Xenopus tropicalis: one gene and its partner. The protein of the gene in region 1 interacts with the protein of each later gene in a biochemical or structural test. Links are inferred from orthologs where the notes say so. Each region holds a gene or a part of one and is shown on either strand. Other genes may lie near its edges.

The links.
Region 2: the proteins of dcn (region 1) and tgfb1 form a complex in vitro, tested with the Homo sapiens proteins (3 studies listed by BioGRID). The link is inferred for Xenopus tropicalis from reciprocal best matches to the Homo sapiens genes DCN and TGFB1.

What each region holds. Positions count from the first base shown.
Region 1 is NC_030679.2:55,504,140-55,517,428, reverse strand, and holds the start of dcn (decorin precursor), read left to right. Parts: upstream 1-6,330; 5' UTR 6,331-6,482; intron 6,483-6,489; exon of another isoform or gene 6,490-6,574; intron 6,575-12,640; 5' UTR 12,641-12,670; coding exon 12,671-12,896; intron 12,897-13,289. UniProt on the Homo sapiens protein: May affect the rate of fibrils formation.
Region 2 is NC_030684.2:79,284,699-79,297,987, reverse strand, and holds the end of tgfb1 (transforming growth factor beta-1 proprotein), read left to right. Parts: intron 1-326; coding exon 327-478; intron 479-1,930; coding exon 1,931-2,048; intron 2,049-2,170; coding exon 2,171-2,248; intron 2,249-3,525; coding exon 3,526-3,676; intron 3,677-3,881; coding exon 3,882-4,035; intron 4,036-7,391; coding exon 7,392-7,550; 3' UTR 7,551-8,666; downstream 8,667-13,289. UniProt on the Homo sapiens protein: Transforming growth factor beta-1 proprotein: Precursor of the Latency-associated peptide (LAP) and Transforming growth factor beta-1 (TGF-beta-1) chains, which constitute the regulatory and active subunit of TGF-beta-1, respectively.

The DNA of each region.
Region 1 (13,289 bases):
CTGGTTTGCAGCAATTAACATAATTTACTTGCAGAGATTCTTATGTTAGTGAAGGGGGTGGCATTTTCAGGAGATTTATCACCTGCAATAGCGCATATTTAACTGCAGACAAATTTTGCTGATTGCCATCACTTGTTGTTCACAGATAGCTTTCCGATAGCTTTCCCTTGGAGTCACATCTCCAAGTGGCATGGGCTGGTCACAAAATAAAGTATAGTGTCACTAGGTAGATTACTATTAAAAAAATATAAGTTTACTAAATGGACTGAAAGGAGACAGCTAGTGATGAGCGAATCTGTCCCGTTTCGCTTTGCCTATAAAATTAGATTTTTTTGTTGCCCACGTCTTTGTGGTTGCCCGTGTCTTTTTTGTCGCACTCGTCAATTTGACGCGCAACTAAAAAAAAATTCCATGCAACTAATTTTTCCGCAGCGAATTTTCACAGAAGTTTCGCGAAACAATTCTCCCATGGCGAAATGCAGAAATTTGCTGCAAATCCATGCCTGGCGAAAAAATTCGCTCATCACTAGAGACAGCAGGTAGAGCTGTCTTGTTCTTTGTGAACTGTACCTTGTCCAAGGTGATTGGAAGTTCTTGGTTTTCAAAATGGGTTAGTGTTATGTTCAGTCTTTGTAGAGGCAATAGCATATTGATATGCATCTTTTCAAGCTAAGCAGCACAGGTAGCAGTGCAGTCTTTTTGGTCATTTTGTTAATTTGGCCATACACGTTCCAATTACGATCTTTCCTGCAACCAGTGGTCACAGGAAAGATGGTTCGTACCCTCCACTGACATCCAGGTCTGAATCGTTGGAGATGGTGGTAGAAACAATAGAAATTCTACCTCTATCTGACAATTCAGCCCTAAACACAGCCTTTGCTCGGGCACTTCTAAGCCGCACAATGAAAAACATTTGTCCCACCCGATTAACGACACAACCGATATCCAAGGCTTTTGCAATATCGTTCGTCTCGTAGATCCATCATACACACACTGAATATCATACAAAACCTAAATTTGTACGATAACATCGGTGCCTGGTTGGCACGTGTAGCCTGGCTGGAGTCAAGAAAAATCCTGTGTGCTTGAACACTACTGTGTTACAGTGTATACCAGTTTATGCTACTTGACTGGAATCAAGAAGGGTCAAGTCAACGTGCCCAGCCATATACTATATCTGTATGATAACAGTAAATCTCCCTGGAATTGGTTACCAATATGCAAACTAGGATTTTTTTTCAATATAGAGGTTGATGTACATGTGGTTTTTTACTCACTGGATAAACTTTTCCACATCTCTGTATGTGGAGATGGTGGCCTCACTCTCTTTCTAGTTTTAAGAATTGTGAATGTAGAGATATTAAGATGTTTTTTTTTTTATCATACACAATTAATATGACTATAGTTGTTAATATTTGTATTACAGGATTCTTATGTATACGTTCTTTGCACTGTGGGAGTCCAGTGTCGGACTGGCCAACCAGGATACCAGGAAAACTCCCGGTGGGCCCAGGTGTCAATGGACCCTCCTGCTTCTGACCATTTGGCCTACTTCAGGGTCATTCCCTATTTCTGAATGGAAAGAAAGAGGAGAAATAGATGGAAGAATAATTGCTAGCATGTAAATAAAAGAGACTAGGAGAATAAAGAGGCTGGGTGAGGAAAGGAAGAAAAATAGTTTGGAAGTGGGCCTATAGGTTTTCCGGGGGGCCCCTGGGTTCCCAGTCCGACACTGTGGTAGTCCATTAGTGTACCCTTATGTTTTTCTTGTCTAATGTGATATTATTTTATTTGTTTTCTCTGACCATACAAATGAGAGAGGGGTTTTAGGATTAAGATGCCTGAAGACATTTATAAGAAAGAAAACCTGCCTTTTTGTTCATTGAATGTGATAAAGAGTAACTATGTCCCTGATATTGAGGAAAGTACTTGATGGTGAGTTTGGATATATCACTAATTACAACCAGTTTAATTTAATCCTGAATATACTTTGGTATGACTGCAGCAAACTTTGAAATATATCCTTTTGTGTGATGAAGGATTTACTATGCAATAAGGACTATTAATGGACATGGTGAACCTGATAGTGTTATGTAAAATGACAACAGGCTGGAATGATTTCGTTTTGCAAATATTGATCACTATGATATAAGCCACATGGAAGCAGTAATTGTGAAAAGTTTTGAACCTGTGTATGATGTGTCTCAATGTCGCAAGGACAAACTACAGTATAATATGATTCAGGTGGAGCAAAGAAATACGAACCTGTAAATACATTGTATGCGACTGATAATTGAGGGAGTTTTTGACTTTATATATGGCTTTAACTTTTTAATCTTGATTGTTTGTTGATTGGCCTCCATTGGCTCATTTGTGATCTAAGAGTAGCTCTCCAGGGGTGATCTAAATGTGTGATCTGAGTAATCTGGAGTTTTTTGCTTTAGCTTTTTTTTGCTAAATGTTCCTAATTATACAGACATAGATTCTAATATATGTAGCGTGGTTATACAATATTACTTCTATTGATCTATTGTGCAAAACATAATATGTTGCACACTGCTCCTTGGCAGCATCTCCATTATTACAATGCCTAATACTGTATACACCACTTGACTAGAAATTCCATTTGCTTTCAATGTATCTGGAGCTAAAGTTTCCATTGTTTCTTAATGTATTTAAAGTATTTGGAGTGTTACTACCCCTTGTCTCTCACTGCATAATGTATTTAGTATTTGGAGACATTGTACCATTATATGTATATAGAGAGAGAGAGAGAGTCTGAAGATTAGGGCACATAGGGCTTTTTTTATAAACTGGCAGAGAAACTTCCTATTTATGTGAATTGAATTTGCTCGACATCAAGTACAGTTGGTTCTTGACCAAAAAAAACACACATAACAGCTTTTTAATAATGACCTGTACTGGCAGTATTAGCAATTAGGGCTGTGACACAGAAGATATATTGTCCTCTATTGGCCAGGTAACTAAAATGCCCAAATACCACACCTCATAATGTTAAATGGAAAGCACATAGAGCATAGAGCATCGAAAGGCAGACCTCCACCTCTCAACTATCTTTATGCGTCAGTCACATATATCATATCATCAGAAACTGTGACAGGCAGATAGAGATGTTTTAACCACAACTGGTTAAAATATTGCCTTATGGCAATGGCAGATAGGGAGCTTTGTTGCTCACAGGAAATCACACTCCTCATGGTCAATAAAGCACTCCCTATCTGAGCAGGTAAAACTGACTTCTTGCATAACTGAGTGCAAAATGCTCTCATCCATATGTTTTAGTATTCTGTTGCCTCTGGGGCAAAGCGCCTGATCTGGCATTGCCATTAAAGTTAATGGAAGGCAGTGTGGGCCAGTGTTGGGCCATTTCCCCACTCACTGAAATACAGAACAGGTTCTATACCAGTATACCAGTATATGCAATTAACTCAAAGCAAATCAGTGGTAACAACATAGAAACACGGGAAAGCCATCAGTTCAGACACCCGATTCCTTCAGGAGAGGTGTTATCTTGTTACCTGCTCATTGTTCTGTTTATAGGCTGCTGAGGGGGATTAAAACGACTCCCAATATCCCCACCTACAGGTGGGTGATATTGTACTAATTTGGTCATTTTGGCCATAGGGCCAATGCTTTATTGCTAATGATGCTGTTGCTATATTTGTTTTTTAAATCTGTATATATATTTATACGTTAAATTATTTTTGTAGAATCCAGTGCTTAAATGACTACAGTATGTAAACTCCATTTGCAGCATATATCATCTTCCTTAAGTTTAAGCATCATCTTATATATAGACATTCAAACAATTTAAATATGGTATTCACATTCAAGTTAGTTTTATGATTAAAGGAGACAGCCAACAGAAAACAAATAACAGTTGTTATGTATGTTCTTTGCCAAGTGAAAGTTTAGGTCTAAACCTTACTGAACTGTTGTTGCAGTTGAAGAAAGTTGTTCATGCATCAAAGCCTTCAAATGTCAAAGAGTTGAAATAGTGTAAATGAGTCAACATTCCTTAAAGTCAATGTGTGAGATTACTAACAGTTACAGGAAATGTTTATTTCAATTTATTTCTGCTCAGCTTGGTGCCAATACCAAATGAAGGGTCCACATTGTCCCTTAATAATTTCTGTTGTTGACCAATTAAATGATATCTTTTCACCCATGTCAAAAATCTAGAACTTTCCCAGCAATTAGTTTGGGAGAAAATATTTCTTTCTTTCATAGACAGTAAAAAACTGCCCTATGATCCATTTTTTGTGTAAAACTAAAATTGATCTATTCCCTTCAAAAATAGTAAAAGGTAGCAAAATCTCTTTTCAGTGTATGGGAACATTTAATCTAGTTGTCTAAAATGTATCAGTTCTCCTGACTTATGGCAAAGACACTGAAGCTGGATATAGTACAGAGCCAGCAAAGTATTTACTCCTGGAAAGCTGATCCAATGATGCTGGAAACTGTCCTTGCTATGGGTGCTTATACTTATAGCATTTCATAACTGTTACTTATTAGGTGGCTATTTTTTATGGGCCAGTACCTTCTTTCCATTCAAGCGCTGATGTTAACTATAGAAGCTCAGGGTAGTCATATCCCATGCCACCACAGCACTTTGCTTAGTCTTTTTTGCTGTCCGTGTCCATACTTCAGCACATCATGCCCTACTTCTTACTATTTGCACTGCCTAATTTGCTGTCAGTCAGTAGGTTCTATAATGTTCTATTCTGGGAAACTCAGAAGAATGTTAAGAAGTTCTTATATGAGAATGATAACTGGAAGAATGTTAAATAGAAAACTTTACTATGTCAAATGCACTTTGCTATCAAAATTATCCACTTCTTATTACAGACTTACCTATGTTTTGGTGATCTCTGAGACTTGAAATTGGACAACTCGCTCTATGAAATTTTGGGCCAACATTCCCTATAGAGAAACCATGTTCTTTGCACTCACCCTTCCTATCTCTCTCTGTTTTGATCAATGTTGTATTCTCTTCCCCATTGTATTGGCCATACATGAATATGTGCATATCTACCTAGCTGGTATGTTGCCAAGTGTAAGTGCAATGTTACTAGCAGGGAGGTGGAACTAAGGGCTGGAGTTGTAAAAATTGCACAGAGCTAGTAAAAAGAAAGTGTTTACCTTAGCGTGAGTACTGACTTAAACATCAGCTTTACTTCACCTTTACTTTACCTTTAAGTACTGACTTTGTGTGAAGCAGCATAGCTGGGCATTTGTAATGCTTTAAGGAAGCTTACAATGGACAATCCAATATGTAAAATGATGTAAAGCACACCACTAATGATAGTGAAAAAGATTTTTGACTGCCTTCCGCAGACATAAGTACGTTATTGCACCTGGTCTTAGCCTTAGGGAAGGCAAGGTCTTACACGTCAAAATTTTAGAGCCAAATGCTTATTTGTGCCTGAAGGGATATATATTTTACTTGCTTTTAGTACGTTAGTATTAATATAAAATGCATTTTTGTTTGAATTTAAAATAAATGTACTGAATTTTAATAAGTCTAGGCCAGACCTGAACCTTAATTTGTATGTCTACAAATGTATATGTAATTAACATTTTAATCAAATTCATTGTGATTTCAATAAAAATTAAAACATGTTAAAAACACACTAGTGTTGTGTTTTGGATTGGTCAAGTTTTTTTTTTTTATAAATGTTGGGCCTGAAAGCCTTTGAACATAAATATAGCATTTGCCTGCCATAACCCTTCCATTGTGGTCATCTTTGTAGTTATTTCTAAATGAGGGATGGCGTTACATCTTTAACTACTCTGTGCCTAAATAACAGAATGTGAATCTCCAGTTTTCAGATTATTGTTTCTGTACTAATTGTAGAATTATTTTGATTTTGCACTATAGTAAAGTTTGTGAATCAACAGGCATTTCTAAATAAAATAATTAATTGTAAAATAACTTTGCTGCTGTTTTATTATTCCACTAAATGAACATCTGGATATTAAGGACATTGTGAGAGAAATGCTCATTTTCTTTGCAGTGTTTGAGTTAAATGAGTCAGCTTCCTTTATGCTGCTGAATGAATAATCGTATTACAGTAACAGCAAAAAAAAATGGTCAAAATTTGTAACCCAGAATTTAAATAGTTTACCAGTAAATCAAACGAAAGCTCTGCTGTGTGCACAGTTAAATAAGGAAAGTAAAAAAGAAAAGCCTGATACATTTCTGGCTAAAGAGCAGGAGACATATCATTACCATATGATCTAATGTGGGTGTCAGCCTGGATTGTGTTCATTGAAGGAAACTGCTTTCTATAACAGTGCTTGGGAATAGGAGCAGGAGGGTTTTCCACTAAGTGACAGTGGTTGAGCACTGGTTCTACCCCCTCCTTCTTTGCACACCTGTAAACTCCTTTTGTCTGGACTGAATATTTAAATTACATCTCTGCTTCTAGAGTTCTTCTTGGAAATCCCAGGATAACAAGGTATGAAATGTATTAAATATGCAGCTAAGTTAGAACTAACTCAGCATTCATGAGACATAGGGAACAGCACGTGCATTTTGTTGAAAGTCCAGGTAATAAAATACCCTTTGTCTAATGACATAATTATTTATGTAGCTTTTATTTTTAGAAGCCTGCAAATGTTAACTGTTCTGTCCTATTTGTACTCTGTTTTTGCTGTTCTGTTGTTGAAATTAATATAATGCTTCTTGTAAGAAAGAACTTTCTAGAAAATTAATATAATGCTTCTTGTAAGAAAGAACTTTCTAGAAAATTCTGGTAAGTACAATTGTTTCAGATTTCTTTTGTCTGACACAGAACAATGAAAAGATGTAAAACTTTCTCATCTGTTCTGTTGTCTAAGCCACTTATCCTCCTGGTTTTGCCGTGTATATTATATACAAATACAGGTTTTTTTTTGTATCTGTGACAGCTGGAGATCTTTATATACTGCAATATGATTAAAAAGTGACTATATTTCATTATCCACATGCTACATAGCAAACTTAGCCACAAAACATCCAATTGAGTCATTTTGCTTGGCAGTTGTTATAAAGCAAATAATGGAAATACTGTAATTTTTCGGCAGAAACATGTACCTAGGGCTGAAAGGAAAAAATGAGAGTACAGCATGTTGATGTTTCCAGTAGTTCTGCATCTGATTGGATTTGCAGTCTGCTTTAAATTTAATAAATGCAATTTCAATATGTTCTTTCTGCAGTTGTCTTAGTTATATGTACTATATACCTATAAAGAACAAATACACAATGAAAACAAAAGCCTCCCACCTGATTAATACACACATTATTATTTTTTCATTTATATCATAGCTGACATTAAACTTAAAAGCAATGCAGCAGTCAGTGTTGTAAATAGAAAATGTTTAACTTCAGATTGTACGTAAGCATGGCGAAGCATGAAAACCCTGAGATGGATGAAACAAACATAAAACAGGAATCATATATCAGTGTCTAGAGCTGCATTCCACATATCCACAGTTATTGTATTACAGTACCTATGCACGTGGAGGGGGCGGGGTCAGCTTTTAAGCCTTTTATATAGTATTGTGGCTGCTGGCAAACTCCTATATCCTGCATACATTTTCATACAATTTGCCTGAAATAATTAGAAAGAAAATAACACTTTTATAAGCCAACACTGTATTATGAGAAGTGTAATACTGTATATAGATGCAAATAAAACAGACAGAATGTTTATATAGTATCATGTAGATCCAAGCATTTTGAACAATAAAGAAATAAAAATTATTTATATAGGAAGATTTTTTTTTAAGCAATGTTTTAAAGATATGGCAAGCCAGAGCTAATAACAATATATTTTACTTGTCATTATAAAGGAAATGTTGGGGAGTCCATTGTATTATTATAGGCAAAGGAAAAATACACATTTATACCATGTATTTATTTATCCCATCCCATTATATGGGACATTATTCATATAGGTAGGAGGAGCTAGTTTACAACCACAACTACATACATTTACATGTGCCACAGAAATGGAAGCTGTCATATTTGCTTTCTTCACCTGAGGTATTTCTGCAGATTTTCCCTAGTAAAAAGAACAATCTAAGAATATCTGTATGCTGTAGATATTGCTCTTCTTTAGTATAGACACCCAGTCTATCTCTGCTAGACAACATGGCAATTTGCTTTCATGGGCAAAATCCATGCAGATATGCAAAAAAAAATGTTTGTGCACATATTAAATAAAAACACTTATGCTGGCACTGATAGTTTAAGGTAATGTTAAAGGGGAACTAAAGCTTAACAAAGAAGTAAGCAAGAAATGCTGCACATTATGTTATGACATTCTATACCAATCCAATACCACACCAGGCCTTTAGCAGGGAAGATTTGTGCCTCCAAAGATGACACAGTAGCTCCCCATCTTTTTTTCTGCTGATTCCCTGCCCAAGCTCTGTGCTGTTGTCACTTACTGAGTTCAGGGACCGACTCAAAATATACTGTATATACTGAATATAAATGTCACAATACAAGGCTAACTAGTAATTAATTCAGATTCTTATTACATGGCAACTCAGAAACCAGTGCAATTTGCAACAGAATTCAATTATCAGTTCTGTTGAATGTTTTTTAAACCTCATTTTTTCCTTGATGATTTGTGACAGCCCCTAAGCTTAACTTCTCAACAGCTGCCCAGAGTCCACTGAGCATGTGTGTCACTGAGACTTCTAGCAAAATCCAAGATGGTGACCTCCTGTGCACAATGTTTAAGGCCTGAATCATTATCTCTATAAAGCTTCTGAAACTTTAGGCTGGTGCAGTAGGTTTTGTATATAAAATGTTAAATTTCTACCCATATTTGTTTTTAGACCTTAGTTCTAGTTTTAATGGAAGAACCCTGACTATAAGAGCAGGTTTTCTTTTACTTGCACTTTATAACTAAGAAAGGTTTGACTGCTAAAAAAAACAGTCCTGGAGGACCGAAATGTTGACTGTAACAATAAAACATGTTTTTTAAGACCCTTAAGTGCTTATATAGATATATATATATACATATATATTGTTTATATATTTTTTATATATATATTGTTTATACCTTTATACCTTTTTACCTTTTTTTTTATTCAAAGTGGCAGACCTTCATCTGTTTCCATGAATAAACAAGATATGTTAAGTGCATTGCTGTCCGATATATTTAACGTAGCAACCAGTTTTGCAATACTTCATATTAAAAAAGTATGACAATGTTAAATAATAGAAACAAATTATGCAAAGAAGTCTATGGCACATTTAGGAGCTAGGGGGCCATACGAATCCTTTGCAAGGCCATATCCAACCAACATACTTCAAGTGGGATATCACTTTCTAAAAGGAGAGACAGTAACAGACCAATGTTTTCCTTACAACACTCAATGTCGCAATGATGATGGGTTGCTATGAATCACTAGGGAAAGGAACTGATGGTCCATATCACCTCACATATAAGCTCCTTCCTGTTTACAGAGAAATGTAATTTGTAGCTTACATGATGACTTCCTGGTGACCTCTGCAGGCTCTGTTTAACAGATTCTTAAGCAAAATTCCAAGCTGTAAAAGAGGAAGAAAATGGTTTATATATATTAGGGCCGTGACAGAGGGCAGTCCCCACACTTCCCAAAATGCAACACCCATACGCCAAAGACTCCGGTCTCCAATACCTGGTAAAAACAGCAGTAAGGTAGGGAGCCATGATGCTGGACACTCATGTCTTGTCTATGGTTCCCTATTAATTAGGAGTAATCACAGTTGAATCAAATCTGGTCCTGACTTCAGTTGTTCATGCTTTTGGTGGTTGATCGCTAGCAGAAAGACAGGGATAGGAAGTAAAGTTGCTCAACGGCTGCCAACCCCAGCGGCACTACTCTTCTATACTGGGGAGTTTGGGTGATGTGTTTCAGGAGGGGGTTCTCTACAGGGCCCTTAGATGTATTCATTTGTTTTTCTTGCCCTTTATCAGTTATTTATCAATTATGTATACGCACAAAGTATTAAATGGACACTAGATTAGACCTTTTTTGTTTCATCCTTCAACCTTGTTTCATGTAAAATATTATTGTACAGGATATGAGGAATAGTTTCTGATGCTGTATTATGAAAGGTCATTTACAATCACAATTTGCCATGTTTTTGTTCCCCCACAAAGTAAGTCAAGTGCTTCTCTAGATACATTTGTATGTGATTCAGAACAGGGTGAGGAGCAGATACACTGGTGATGAATACTACTACTGTAGAAATGCAAGAGGCGTGTTTGGACATTTAAAGCTTACATTGTGTTGTTTGGCCTTGCCCCCCCCCACCCCATGACATCAGACAGCTGCCATTTTCTAATTGGGCAATCCCTTATACTGGATTTTTCAGAGTGTTAGGAAGGCTCTGGGTGGAAACTCTTAATATACAACAATGGACCAAACAGGACAAAACAAGGCAGAAAATAATCTGTAAAGAGTTAATTGTATGTGTAAACTGTTAAGACTTGTCTTTGTTTCCCCAACCCTGTAAAGGTGTGAGAGATACAATGGTGCTTTATAGACAATAATAATACCGACTCTACCTACCTAAAGTTAGTCCTATAAAAAAGTCTTGATTCACAAGCCCTTAGAACATTAACAGTGTGTTTAGTGCCTCCGACTCTTCTTCATACACGTTTTAAGGAGTCCACCAGTAAATATTCAATAATCAGGTATTCACTGAAATACATTAAACTCATAATTTTATACAGTCTTATTTATGAAATCAATAATATCTTCACAAACACATTAAGCTATATGTCCCTTTAATCTACAATCCATTAAACAATCAGCACAGCTAGAGTTTTGACAATATATTTAAAAATATATACAATAATAATTTGTAATTACATTTTAGTATTTTATAAAATTACACATTCTAAGCAACTTTTAAACTGGTTTAACATGGGTTTTGAATGACCAGCCATTCTTTTCTTCAACTTTCTGGTCTGCAGCTAAAGAATGAAATATGGATATCAAGTTTACTGACACTAGCAAACAAAAAAAAGGCTAATTTATAATTTTTTTTCTTTTAATGCAGGCCCTCTACTGTTCATCCATTGTAATTGCCGCCTGGTTGCTAGGGAACTAAGCCCTAACAAACAGATAGCAGTTAATATGTCCTGTCTGACAGCTCCACAAACACACTGAATAATCCAAAAATTAGAAAAAATAAAAAATGATGACCAAAATTTATCTTAGAATAAAACCGTCTACATCACACATTAATTAATTTTAAATGTAGGTGAACTGTTTTAAGGTATAGTTAAAGAGCCTATCAGTGAAAAACGATCAACATTACCAACAGAAAACTTTTAATGTACATTATTACTTTGAAGAGTTGTTTTTAAGTGTCAGTATCACTTTAAGGCAGTTTGGTTTGAAGATTGCTGTGGCTTTCAATTCATGCCAACATTTACTCCAGTCTGTTATCTATAGGCTGCCTTTTCTGACTTGATGGTGCACTGGCACTAAAATATGCTATCAGTGTATGAAAGGTTTGTTACCTCTAATGGTAAGGTTAGATAAATTACTTTCCCATGCCAATGCAGTGTCTGGGGGAAAGCCTGAACATAACTCTCTGCTTAGCTGATCATAGACTGGACACAAAGCTAGTGAAGATGTAATTTAGCAATCATTATGGATCTGTGTCTATGAAGATCTCATTCATCCAGGTCATGATATATAGTATCTAGTAGAATTAAGTCTAAAACAACTGGACCATTCTGAGTTTTTCTTGAAAATGTTTCACCACTTATCTGAGTGGCTTCAAAATGACTGGTAGGGAATTTAAACCCCTGAGGGTGGTACAGTCACAGGCAATCACCATTGTGATTGGATGTATTTTGATGCATGCTTTTACTATCAGTTGAGCCAAGTCTCCAACATACTATTCCCCAAACTACAAGTGAACAACTGGTGGACGTTGTTGGTTCTGCATCCCTTTTTTATTGAGTTTTCGAGCTATAAATTGTGTGCTTCCTTGACATATTTTTCTACTCTGTCACACTGTTTCCTGGTTGTACTTTACAAACTGACAGCTCATGGGGAAATTTACCTTATAAACTAGGAGAAATCTGCCAGTGAATCACAACATGAGTGTATTAGTTAGAGACGTAAAAATGTTAAACAAATGTAAGAAAATAAAGATTATTTTGGAAACAAATAGTAAATTGTTTATAATTTGGAGTTTCCATTTAATGATAATTAAGACTTTTTCCAGTTAAAAAAAATGGGTCTGGTATTTGCGGAAGAATCTTAATTCAGTTATTCCAGTTCAAATCAGTTGTTTTATCTCCAGCCCATTTAAGTCTCTCATTGACTAGAAAGAGGAAAGAAGGTATTAGTGCAGTTAATTATCTGTGTACCTATTTCATACTATTTCTCATTTACATTCAGCAAGAACCTTGGAATTAATCTCAATACAAAAGACAGATTTAAAAATGCAGGAAAGATTTTTTTATAGAGTTGGAGAGGTCTGTAATATACTTGCCATTGGACAAATGTACTATTTTAATGATATCCAGATATTTATTTATAAAATAAATGTGGTAGAGAACAATGACTAATGTTGGCTATTATTATACCGTACCTTTCCTTGCGCTCCTAGGATACCATTTGGGCTGGATGAACTAAGAAGATGAAGGCAACTATTATCCTTTTTGTACTTTTGCCACTTTGCATTTCTAAACCCTTTCACCAGAGAGGCCTGTTTGACTTTATGCTAGAGGATGATGCATCTGGGGATGGGTCATCTCTATGGCCTGAACCATCTCTACCCACTGATGGACCAACTGGACCTATTGGTCCTATTTGCCCATTTCGCTGTCAGTGCCACCTGCGGGTTGTGCAGTGTTCTGATATAGGTAAGTAGTAGCATTGTACAATTGTTTTCATGCTGCATTCAAAGTACAAATTACAGTATTTGCACATCAATTCAATTAGAAAATATCTAATTCAATGAATAATTTCTCAAAAGACATCTTTTGAGTTTGATATGATAATCAAGAATTTTGAGGAGTGCACAGAAAAGAACTAACCATGCTAAACATTGAGGGAACTGTACATGTCTCATTGTTTTTTGTACATAAGATAACTGAGTATCTCCATTAACTACAGGTATGGGATATGTTATCCGTAAACCTGTTATCCAGAGAGCTCCAAATTACAGAAAGGGCATACTCATAGACTCAATTTTAATCAAATAATTAAATTTTTTTAAGAATGATTTCCTTTTTCTCAGTAATAATAAAACAGTA
Region 2 (13,289 bases), on another chromosome or scaffold:
GTCAAATCGCTCTGCAAAGCGGCAGCATCCTGCATGGAACTTATAGTTTTGGGATGTTCCAAACTACAGGTACATTCAGTGTTAGGAATGAGAACGGAAAAGAACTATGAGGAACTAAGAGGAATGGATAAAGTGGCATTGCTAGGAGAGAAACATCTTTCCCAGTACTGCATCTCTGATACTGAAAGCTTACAGCAGGAACTCCTACAGTTATGTCACTGTTTCCCTGAGACTCTCTGGTAATAATTATAAATGTGATGTCTGTACAGTAGGAGAGCAGTAGCGATAAAATGGATTGACATATTTCTTCCCTTCGTATTCCACAGAACTGAAAGAAAATGAATTTTTGTTTACATTTAATGCATCACATGTGAGGGAAAATGTGGGAATGAAGTCTCTCCTGCACCATGCTGAGCTGCGCATGTACAGAAAGAAGCAGACAGATAAAAATGTGGAACAAAGGATGGAACTCTATGCGGTATGATACAGGCTTACGTATTTTATTACAAAGGTTCAGTGAAACATTTTGTTGCTATTCAGGTTGGTTCTAGTGGTTTTTTGTTCAGCAATGGCTGCTTAAGAGCATAAGAGAAGCCCAATCAGACTGTCTGTGCAAATGAATACTTGGTGCCAATATTATTAGTAGGAGACACCTCAGATGGCCTATTTGATGCATAGCCAAAACTCACATACATACACAAATATTTTCAGTCTCTGTTACACTTTGATAGCTGGAGTTTCCCTGTTAAACCAGATAATTCACCCATTCCTGCAACCATTACTCATTTGAATAGGCAAGTGGAACAGACAGATCACAAGGGAATTGCTGTGAGTACAGTAGCTTTAAGGAATAGAGAGCAAAATAGGCAATGGAAACAGAAACCAGAACACAAAACACACAGAGCAAGGCACAAGAGAGAAAAGGGAATGTTTTGTATGCAAAACAACCCTATTGGATTTATTTAAAAGAGAAGGAAAGGCTAATAAAGAGTTAATCTCAAGCTGAAGGCATACCTTCAGTTGTCTGAAAAGTGCCCTTAAGTCTCCCCATATTTCTCCCGTTCAGATGATCAGAAGCCAGACAGGAAGAAAAAACGCTGAGCTGTGTAAAGAAAGTTCCCATAATGCCTCACTCCTGCACAGACACCCAGACCAAGTGAACATGCTCAGTTAGTAAGACTATGGGGCAGATTTACTAATCCACAAATACGAATGGGAAAAATTCAGATTGGAAACGAAAATTTCTGAAGATCGCTAATATCTCGAAAATGCTTACGAAAAAAATCGTATTACTCACGATAATATCGTATTGGCGATCCGAAAGTCACAAAATTTTCATAGTGACCATTGTAAACAGCGGCAGAGCCTTTCCGAATTTTTCGCACGGGCGCAAAAAAAACAATACGCAACAATATGCTCGGAGCCTTCGTATGAACGCTCCGAGCATTCGGGTCTTAGTGAATCTCCCCCTATGAGTCAGCTTCCTGCTGATTGGCTCAGATCCACATTCCTAAGGGGGGGAGTGAGTTCTTATTCTTGAGGAAGGGGGGGAGCAGCAGAGAGGAGAGAGCTGAAAGCTACGTGTCTCTGGCAGAGGAAAAGGACACAACTAATCTTTTTACAGAGAAGTCAGTGCAGCATTTCTGTGAGTGCTTATGGCTGTATTTACATAGACCTTTCTGATAAAGCTTACTTAGTTTTTACCTTTCCTTCTCCTTTAATGTTTAAATGATTTGTAGTAGACCTAAGGCATGAAGATCCAAATTACAGAAAGATCCCTCATATGGAAAACCCCAGGTCCCAATCATTCATCCCAAGTATTTACATGTCATCTGTTGGATTAATAAATCCTTCTACTGTACAGAACTGCAGAATATGTTGGCGCTTTATAAAACCTTGTTGATAGTAATGTTAACCTATTCTCACACAGGGTAATGGAACTGATTACTCAGGATACCTGGATAGCAAGTTCTTTACTGCAGTAACAGATGATGAGTGGGTGTCATTTGATGTTACAAAGACTGTGAATGAATGGCTGAACCATGCAGGTAAGAAGGAGGAGTAGGTAGATATTTTGCAAAATAAGATACCAAGAGTGAGCAGTACATTTTAGACTATACAACCTTTTTAGTTGTTGTCCAGAAAATTAATCCATCTGTCCTATCTACAGAGGAAAATGAAGAATTCAGGTTGAAACCTGCCTGCAAATGTTCAATAACTACACACAGCAAGGTTATAAGTATAGAAGGTAAGAGAAGCTATGATATCTTTTCTATCTTTGTGTACAAAAGAGATAATTCATTTTTTTAATAACTGTTTTGTTAGATTGTTTATTTTGAAAAATACACATAATTTAGATTTATTTCAGGGCTATTTAAAAACCACATTTGTAGTTTTGGAATTTTTTTCTTACCATAAAGCAAAGATTTTTGCAACGATTCCAGCATAATTGCGGTAGTTCGTTTTGAGAAATTAGATGCAATTAGGTGCAAAGTTTGTCAGAGTGGGGATTGTGTAATAATGGTTCTTGTGCTTGATTCACTGTGTGAGTCTGTTGCACCTATCAATGCAGGCAGCAGTAGGAACCCTGGAATTTCAGCCAGCTTGAAAGTGGCAATATCTCAAAGCTTCCCCATGCCAATAGGTGCAAATGTCATTCACATGTGACAGAATCCACAGCACCAGTCAGGAGAATATCTTCAATAATAAAAGGCCTTTATTGCATTTCAGCCAAATTCAGGACAGTGTGGGCAATGTTTCAGGTCTAACAGGCTTTTTTTCAAGCTCACTGTCATTCACATGTGACATACTTGTGGTTGCATTCATAAATTAGTTCCCCCGTGATTTAACTAGCCTGTGTGGCCATTTACAGAGTATATTAAATAATAGATGGGCAGGGTATCTCAATACCTAGTTTCTGATATATGTTTGCAGGGAAAGTATAGGCATCTTTTCCTGATGATTTTCTACTTAATCCCCAGCTTACATGCCTACCTAGTTCCTTACTATCCCTGCATTGTATTTCCTTTCATTCCCCACATCATATTCTCCCATCTCACTTTTGTTCTCCCACTCCTATTAATTCTTGCAACTCCCACAGATCCAATGAATCTGTGCCTCAGTCTCATCACTTCTGCATATATGTCAACTGCAAATCTTTGCCAATTAAGTGTGGGGCCACTTAGCTGGCCATGCCCACAAAGAGGTGGCACTCTCAATCACAAACCAAAGTGACCCAGAAATACAGGCCAGTGCTTGGACTAGAGGTTTGACCACCTCCCAATATCTAATTACAGTATAGATGAGGCACCAGGACAACAGGCGTCCTGGTCTTTAATATATATTGTTATTACCCCTGGGCCATGCAGCCTGGTTTGATGCCATGACTGTAGAAACTGTAAATATGTTGTGTTTCAAATGTAAGAGGGAAGAAGAGCCAGGTACCCTCCAGGATATGCCTTGTTACTCAAGTCTGACATTGATAAGCAGTATTACTAACCTCTTAACATGCAACTTTTTTTCAAGGGTTTTCTATTTTGCGGGGAGACTTGATGAATTTGGGTGGTGATGACCTCAAGAAACCCTACCTCTTGATCACGTCAATGCCAGCAGAGCGAATTGACACTGTCTCACACTCACGGAGAAAGCGTGGGGTTGGACAGGAGTATTGCTTTGGGTAAGTAAAGCAGATCCAATTTGTGTTTTTGTGGATAAATTGCTGTGTTCACATTGCTTTTCAATAGCTGCAAAACCTTCAGCATAGGGGGAAGAAAACTGGTGGTTCTCATCTTCTTATGGTCATGCTATATGAAAAGCATAGATATCATGTAATTAAATTATAGGGCAGGTAAGAAAATGACTCACTGGTCTTGCTTTTGCAGAAATAGTGGGCCAAACTGCTGTGTGAAACCGCTTTACATAAATTTCCGGAAGGATCTAGGCTGGAAGTGGATCCATGAGCCTAAGGGATATGAAGCAAATTATTGTTTAGGAAATTGTCCTTACATCTGGAGCACAGATACTCAGTACAGCAAGGTGAGTGTTGACGTGCTCAGAATGCAGTGATTATTTGAAAAAAAAAATGGAGCTCTTGAGCATCTTTACAGTACAGATATGGGACCCATTATCAAGAAACCATTATTCCAGAAAGCTTTGAATTTCAGGAAGGCCATCTCCCATATACTATATATTATTTCCTTTTTTTCTGTAATAATAAAACAGCACGTTTAACTTGATCCCAACTAAGATATCATGAATTCTTATTGAAGGCAAAACAATCCTATTGGGTTTATTTAATGTTTAAATTATTTTTAGCAGACTTTTCAGGTATGGATATCCAAATTACAAAAAAAACCCTTATCTGAAAACCCCCAGGTCCTGGGCATTCTGGCAACAGGTCCCTTACCAATGTGTAATAGTGATAGAGATGATAACATGTGAGGCATGCATCCCCATTCCTGCAAGTATTGCATAGCTCCACTCACTAATAACACAGCTTCCCTCAGAGCTAACACATTGTATGTTCCATGCAGCAGTAGTCTTTGTTTTTTATTTTTACTCTTTAAGTCTGGCCACCATAGGACACTCATTTGGCTTACTTGCATGGTGATCCAAGGGTTGCCATGACCAAGTGGTGACACTGTAATTTCTTAAATGTTTGACTAGCTGGGAACGTCTGAGAAAAGGCCTTAATAGTAGCTCATTTTTTCAGGTCTGTTAGGAGAAGGCTGGTGCCTCAACATATTGTAGCTGTTATGGCACATTACATAATCCACAGCCTCCTTATTTGGTGAAAATTGCTACCAACATTAATAATTACATTGAGCTGTTTTATCACCCTCCACTATATTATTACTAATTTGTGTTATTGCAAAACAAAAGGGAAACAAGGGGGATGATTGGAGAACATATGGAGAATAGTTTGGGTTAATTAAAGTATAGGGCAAGTAAAAGTAGAGTGAAGTAGGGAAAAGAAGAGTGAAATGTGGGCAAGAAGGCCAGAAAACCAGCTAGTTGCACTCTCTAGGGATAGGGAATAATGGATGTATTGCATTCAAATGGAGCACCCATTTCCATGGGATGAAAAAAAGGGAATAGAAGGCGAGAGCAAAGTGAAGGAGAAGGGTGCCAGATTGGATGGGAGGTGAGGTCAGATCAAAACAAGAAGGAGGATGGTGAGGGAAGCAGAGGGGAAAGAGAAGACTAGAAAGGAGAATAAAAGCATTGAAAAAGTACAGAAATAAAGGACTGGAAATAAGAAAGCAGAGGGGGCAGTTGATAAAGAGGGGACCTCTGCACAAATTCTGATAGGGGCAGCTGTTGGACTAGGGTATGTCCTTTTACAGGTGCAGCTGCATATTTTTGGCAGGAAGTTAGTAGCAATGTTACAGTATAGCTGCAATACCCAGTTTGTAGGGGCTTTTTTCAACACATTTTACTTAAAACACCAGCTTTCTTCTAAACCATTTCCTTTATTTCCCAGCTCACTCCACTCACTCCACTACAGTTCTGGCATAGATTCTTTCTCATACAAAGCCATGTGGATAGCTGCACTTGTGCACATCTTTTGCCTTTCAGCAGTTTGCCAGAAATACAAAATCAGGGACACATACCACTGGAAATTATAGATCAATGCAAATAATATTATTTTTCCCAGCTCACAATTATTTGTCATATCTGATAGATTTTTTGGGAATATAGCAGTCATCTATGTGGCATTAGTATTACTGTCAAGTCTTTGCTACCAACTGTACATTTACTGGCTTTAATTGCAAAGCTGATGGACCTAGTCTAACCTAGGAAAGGATTCATGTGACATCCACGCCAAATTCTATCCCCTCCTTACCTTAGATACCAACTATTAACTATAGAACAGGGAGCCCCAACCTTATTTACTCGTGAGCCACACTCAGATATAAAAAGGGTTGGTGAGCCACACAATTATGGAAAAAGTTCTTTGGGGATGCCAAATAAGGCTTGTGATTGGCTATTTGGTAGCCCCATGTGGATTGCTTGCCAGCAGGAGGGTCTGCTTGGAATAACATTGGGTCTCCAAACCAGAATTTTTAAAACAGGCTCCTGTTTTGAAGCCACTGGGAGCAACATCAAAGGGGGTGGTGAGCAAAATTTTGCTCGCAAGCCACTGGTGGGGGTTCACTGCTATAAAATATACTGTTACTACACTAGTCCTACCATGTACTTTACCAGTTCTTTTCCTACTTTATGGTGTTGACATGTACACTTCCCACTGTTTACTGCTACCATGCATTTATTTTTTTTCAGCATTCATTTTAATTTTTTTCTGTTATTCTGCTAACACTTGCTATCTTTCTTTCATTCAAAAATGACTTATTTTCATTTAAATTATCTTGGCAGTTCCGAAATGTGCATCTTATACCAGTTCTAGCTTGTCCTGTAGTACTAATCCTGGCTCTGCATGCCTTTCTCATCATCTTCTATTCTTGCTTTTGCAGCCTAAGAACTTAGCTGAACCCAAACATTTATTTACTTTGTACTTGGACTGTGTCCTTGATGGAATTGCATTCCCTGATGTTTTCTAGTACAAGTTTCTTACTCACTCACAAGTTTCACACTGTCCACTCTCAAGATAAATTCCAATATTTATTTTCCCTTAACTAATGCTCACTGAATAACAAATCTAGCTCCCACTGCTTCAGTTATTCTATACCGAAGTCTCTAATACAAGTCTTTCCAAAATTCTCCGGAAGTTGCTTCAGGTCTAAGGGTTATGCTTTTTTTATTGGAATTATGTTTTTATGAGGGCTGTCTTCTCTTAAAACGTTTAAAATATTATGAGTGAAACCATCTGTTCTTCTGAAGAGAACTTCCTATGATTATGTGCTACGTCCTATGTATACATCAAACATACATATTATATACAAATGCTGACCAAAACAAGAGGTGAAAAGGGCCCTGCTGTTTTTACAGTCTCAAGGGAGAAGGGGGAATGAGAGCCATTAGGTGTTGGGTAAGATGGGGTATAGCAAAGTGAGCGAAATAGCATTGGGTATTGCAATTTGCAGGTATAGAACAAAGGTATGCTTTGCAAGATGATGGTAAACCTCTCTAAAGAAATGCTTTTTAAAAGACCATTTAGATGGTGAAGGATCAGGATTGAGAAAAAGTCTGGTGGAAGGGAATTCCTGAGAAGGTGTGCAGCTCAAGCAGCTTAGGTTTGTGTATATTGGGTAAGTGATATAGGGTAGGGCAGAATTGGGAACTGCTTTGAATGTAAGGGTTTGCATTTATATATTATAAAATTATGCTTCCAAAATATCATAACATCTGATAATTAATATCTTGCAATATCGCAATTTATCAAGCTAATCATTTCTAATAGTATGTGTGTATTGATGGTCTATCTTATGCAGGTGCTATCACTTTATAATCAGAACAACCCTGGTGCATCTATCTCTCCCTGCTGTGTTCCTGATGTCCTGGAGCCACTACCAATCATTTATTATGTTGGCCGCAATGCCAAGGTGGAGCAGCTTTCTAACATGGTGGTAAGGTCTTGCCACTGCAGCTGAGAAAAGCTTGGGGGCAGAAAGCAAAGCAAAGACATGGTACAGAATCCTAACAAACCACCTTACTGCTGCCAGTTGCCAACATGGATACCATGAAGTCAAGTCATGAAGATCAAGGAACCCTTTGATTTTACATATGCAAGGCACAAATGCCGAAAGCAGTTAGAAACAACGCAACCCACACATGGATTTAGGATTCATCTACAACAATACACCCTTGGTTACAATATCTGTGTTTCTGGACTTCACTGTTCAGTTACTGTATCGATTTTTTAGCACCCCACTACAGCTTTTATGAAAGTGCTTCCCTGCCAAAGGTTATGGACATATACCAAGTTTTGGCAAAGGCAAAATCTTGGTTCAGGGTAAAATAACTCATCTGAAGCATCCAGTCCATGTAAAGGGGTTTTATATACAGTTACGGCAGAGAAATAAGCAGTACTCCCCTTGATAAATAAACCGAAGGCCATTTTACAAGGGACAGAAAAAAACACAACCCCATTCTAGAGTATCTTTGGTGCCTATTGCATTATCGTTCAACAAATTAAAGAGTGATCCTTATTCAATAGATGCTGCCTTTCAGGTCACAACACAAAAATGCCTTACAGTATAGATTAATACATTTAATGCTGAGCACAGATTAGAGAATCTCAACTCTTTATAGATTGTATATTTATTAACATAAATAATTGCTAAATAAATAAAAGCTCGAGCATGTCTTAAGGTATATTGACAAAAAAAAATATTAAAAACTGTTTTTGGTAAAACATGGGTGTTCATCCATGTTCATATCAACTCTCCCAACTTGTAGAGCTATCAATATGTTAAAAAGAAACAAAAGGCATTTATTTACAAAGCCAGAATACAGGAATCAATCAGAAAAAGGAACCTATCGCTGCAGCCTCAGCTACAGGGCAGACCTGTAGGACAAAACTGGATGAAATACAGAATACAGAGTGCCACGTACAGGTACCCACTGAACAAAGAAGGAGCTAATAATTCCTGTTTAAAAGGAGAAGTTTTTTTTTTTACCTTTTTAAACTGTATTATTTTATAGTTTTTTTTTATATTTAAAATATTTTGTTTTAATGAGGAAAAATAAAAAGAGGTACATAAATATGTTATGTGTGTGTGTATATTTCTATATTAACCTCCCCACAATTACATGATGTATGCAAAGCTGTTATTCAGTAAAAGTCACACTCCTCTTTCTATACAACAGAACTCACATACTGTACAGGAACCTTCGCTGCCTGCTGGGACAATGTGCCACATAACTGCACTAAAACGTTGTACTATATATGGCATCATAAATGGGCTTAGTTACAACAATAAATTTAATTAATAAAGTTATTAAGTACCCCTTTTCAGGCAAAGCAGATGCTGAGCACTGATCTATGGTAATAAGATTATAAAAACTAGAAAGGGAAGTTTGAGAACAAACTTCATGTTCGGTTGAAAAACATGAAGTCACTGAATGAAATCTGATCTGTTATTGGCTCCGCCCACTTTTTCTAACCTTGGACCACAGTTATATAGTGAAAACCACTGTGCAAAGTTTGGGGACCCTGGTTTTAATAGTGTCTAAATGGCAGCAATTTAAATTTCCCCACTGAAAGTCAATGAGTGACATCTGATTGGCGGTCGGTGGCTCCACCCACTTTTTCTAACCTTGGACCACAGTTATATAGTAAAACCACTGTGAAAAGTTTGGGGACCCTGATTTTAATAGTGTCTGAATGGCAGCAATTTAAATTTCCCCTCTGAAAGTCAACGAGTGACATCTGATTGGCGGTCGGTGGCTCCACCCACTTTTTCTAACCTTGGACCACAGTTATATAGTAAAACCACTGTGAAAAGTTTGGGGACCCTGATTTTAATAGTGTCTGAATGGCAGCAATTTAAATTTCCCCTCTGAAAGTCAATGAGTGACATCTAATTGGCGGTTGGTGGCTCCACCCACTTTTTCTCACTTGGAACTGCAGTTACCCAGTGACTAACTCTGCAAAGTTTAAAGACCCTAGGATTAATAGTTAAAGAATGGCAGTAGTTTAAATTTAAACCAATAAAAAACAATAGGTAAATTGTGGTTGGTGGGTGCGCTCACTTTTTCTAACCTTGAGTCGAAGTCACTCAGTGACAAACAGTGGGCACCCTGGCATAAATAGTGTGAGAATGGCAGCATTTTATATTTAAATCAATAAAATTCAATGGATGGAATCTGATTGGCTGTTAGTGGCCCAACCCACTTTTCCTATTTTTGAACTGCAGTCCCCCCAGTGACCAACTGTTCAAAGTTTGGAGACCTGGCATAAAAATTGTGAGACTGACAGCATTTTATACTTCACCATTGAAAGTAAATAGGTGAAATGTTATTTGGCCATTGGTGTCTCCACCGACTTTTTTCTAACTTTGAGCGGCAAATACCCAGTGACTAACTCTGGAAAGTTTAACAACTCTGGTATTAATACTTAAATAATGGCATCAGTTAAATATAAACCAATAAAATGGGTAGAAATTGATTGGCTGTTGGTGGCTCCACCCACTTTTTAAAACCTAAAAATGCAGTCCCCTAGTGACCCTGGTGTTAATACTGTGAGGATGGCAGGTTGAATTTCCCCATTGAAAACCAATAGTTAAAATCTGATTGGCTGCTGGTGGCTCCACCCACTTTTCCCAACTCTGAACCACAGTTACCTGGTGACTAGGTCTGCAAAGTTTGGGGATCTTAGTATTAATATTTAAAGAATGGCAGCAGTTTAAACATATGAAGTCTATAGGTGAAATCTGATTGGCTGTTGTTGGTCCCACCCACTTTTCTAAACTTGGAACAGTTTGAGGATCCTGGTGTTAATACTGTGAGAATGGCAGCAGGTTAAATTTCCCCATTAAAAGTCAATAGGTAAAATCTGATTGGCTACTGGTGGCTCCGCCCACTTTTCCTAACCTTGAACCGCAGTTACCTGGTGCCTAACCCTGCAAAGTTTGGGGCCCTTGTGTTATTACTGTGAGAATGGCAGCAGGTTGGATTTCTGCCAAGTCAATAGGTAAAATCTGATTGGCTGTTCATCATATTTTCATTCAGGCTGACCCCATGACTATGTGATTCAAGTTTGGGGAGTGTAGCCTCAAAGCTGTAAGATTGGCAGCAGTTTTAATTTCCCCGTTAAAGTCAATGGGTAAAATTTGATTGGCTGTTGTTGGCCCCTCCCACTTTGGGGACATCCAACAAATGTTGTTGTTTCATTCGGGGTGACACCATTATTATGTTATTCAAGTTTGGGGGGGTGTAGCTTCAAAGCTGTAAGTGTGGCAGCAGTTTGAAAATCTTCCCTGTCAAAGTCAATGGGAAAAATGGGGGGTTCGGAGCGGTGCCACAAAAAGACGGGAGCGGGATCACTTAAAAAAGCACAAGCAACCTGCTCCGCTATAGGGTGAAGAAGTGTGGAGAGTTTGGGTGTTGTACCCCTAAAACTGTAGGAGGAGTAGCGTTTAGAAAATGGGGGGCGCTAAGAAGAAGAAGAAGCGGAAGAATAAGCTGAAGTCAAAGAACAGTATGTTGGGGGTTTTCAACCCAACACAATTCATTGTGCACTTGGCCTAGGTGAAAACTAGTCTTTCCCTGGGGAATAGACTGGCAGTTAGGCCCCTTGATACACCATGAAGCCAAATGTTGTTTTTTTTTTTTTTTAATGGGTTGGACTTGCATTCCACTTTGGTTCACATTGAGGCACGTCCATGTTCTTCAGTTCTTCAGTGGAGTTGGCTGTTGATAATTGAATTGTGGGTAATTTGGGTCTAGCCCTACTCAGGCTACTAATCCTGCACCATTGCTCCTATATGAACTATACATACATATAAAACGCCATAAATACTTTAGGCAGATGGGCACATAACAGTGTTCAAAAACCAGGTATATTTCTATGTAAGGATGAGTCACAGGTAAATATTGCTTTATGGCGTATGGTAGGGACTTCCTCAGCAGCCATTCCTTTCCCAGAAATTAAACTAACAATCAGAAGAAAACAATCAGTGACAAACACAGGAATAATAATGTAGGGGACATTGCACTTGACTTCAGCTAGTGCATAGCTGTTCATGTACCACCATACAATAATAGTGAAACTAGGTGCATTCATATGTTTAGGACTGACGGCAATATCTAATCCTGTTCCCCCTGCTTTTTTACATTTCTAGTGCCCTAAAATCCTTCCCATATTTCTCCTCGGAAGGTTCCATATTCTTAGCCCCCACAGGGTGCTGAGTTCAAAGCATAGCCAGGGTAGTCACACCCTGTGCATCTTGCAGTGTTCTTCAAAGGGTTTACAGCAGCTGCATGGTCTATAGTTAGCCCATCATGGGTTAGAACTGTCCTGTATCTACCCCCTCCCTTATCAGGCTGCTTCATATTTTTCCTGGTCACAGAATATCCTCTTTGTAGGTAATTATAGCTTTCTGGATAGATATGCACCCACTAACCAGGCTGTAAATTACTGGCTTCACTATCCTCAGAATAACTCCACTGTCTCTGCAGCCAAGACTTATTTACTAATGTACAATAGGATGGTTCCCTGAATAAACCCCCTATAGGCAAAGTTGTGTTGTGAAGTATTCCAAGTCCCTTGGTGATTGTCTGTTTTAGCTTTCAGGATATGCTTATTTTCTTTTCTTTACGAGGCATTTTGACTGAAAGGTTGTAAAGCAAGTTACATAATTACCACGTTTCCATGATGCCTAATATTTTGCATTTTGTCACAGTGAGACTCCATGTTGCATAGCTTCAGCCAAGGGTGGCACACCATGTTCAACATCATCCCTCTGTGTCAGATCCACTAATGAGATGGGCAGACTAAATGTTCCTTCTGTATCTCACCTTGGAAGGGTCTGTTTTAGTGGAGCATCCTACAGTGGGTTCTAAAGACACAGTACCCCATTGTTAATCAACAGAAAGTACTAATCCATTCAACATAGCTGTGACAAAAATGCACTCAAAAGCAAAAATGTGAAGTCTCTGCTTAGCGCAAATGCACACATGAAGAGAACAGTCAGAAATATGTGTGTATATATGTACATAAAACAGTATTCTGTAAAAACTAATGTTATATGGCCAATAGGGCAACAAATTACTTATAGAAACATGTGCCTACTTTTTGCCCAAAGGAAAGTGGATAACCATTACACTTCACTCAGGTACTTTCTAGCTGAAAACCAGCTGCCTACTCCATCTAGGGTGGACAAATGTAGGCAAGTTCCTTTTTTTATACCCTCTTTCTTTGTTCAAACCCCTTTCACAAGAGGTAAACCATGCTGCTTAAATTAGGATTGGCAAAGAAGGCAGGTATAGCACATCATAAGCTGGGAACTATATGGAGTCTTGCACTAGAAATATGGGCAAGATAATCTGCATACTATTAATATATTGCCAACATAAACCTTTATTAACTGAAATATGACTTACCTCTGCTGGTTGGGTTTGCCCTATCCTAACTACTTTTCCAGTGAAAGACAAATCTGAAGATAATAGCTACTCTCTTTCATTAAAATGTGTAACTCAGTAAATGAAAATTTCTTCAGGGAATGTATTATATTAATGAAAAGGTCAATTAATATATTTATTCTATGCCATAGCAAAAGAGTATTGCATACTGTCTATGGCGGTAAGATGCCATAGACAGTCACTATTTACGCCTCTGTGTACTTGAAATGTCAGGGCCTATTTTCAGTTCCAGTCTGGACCTGGAT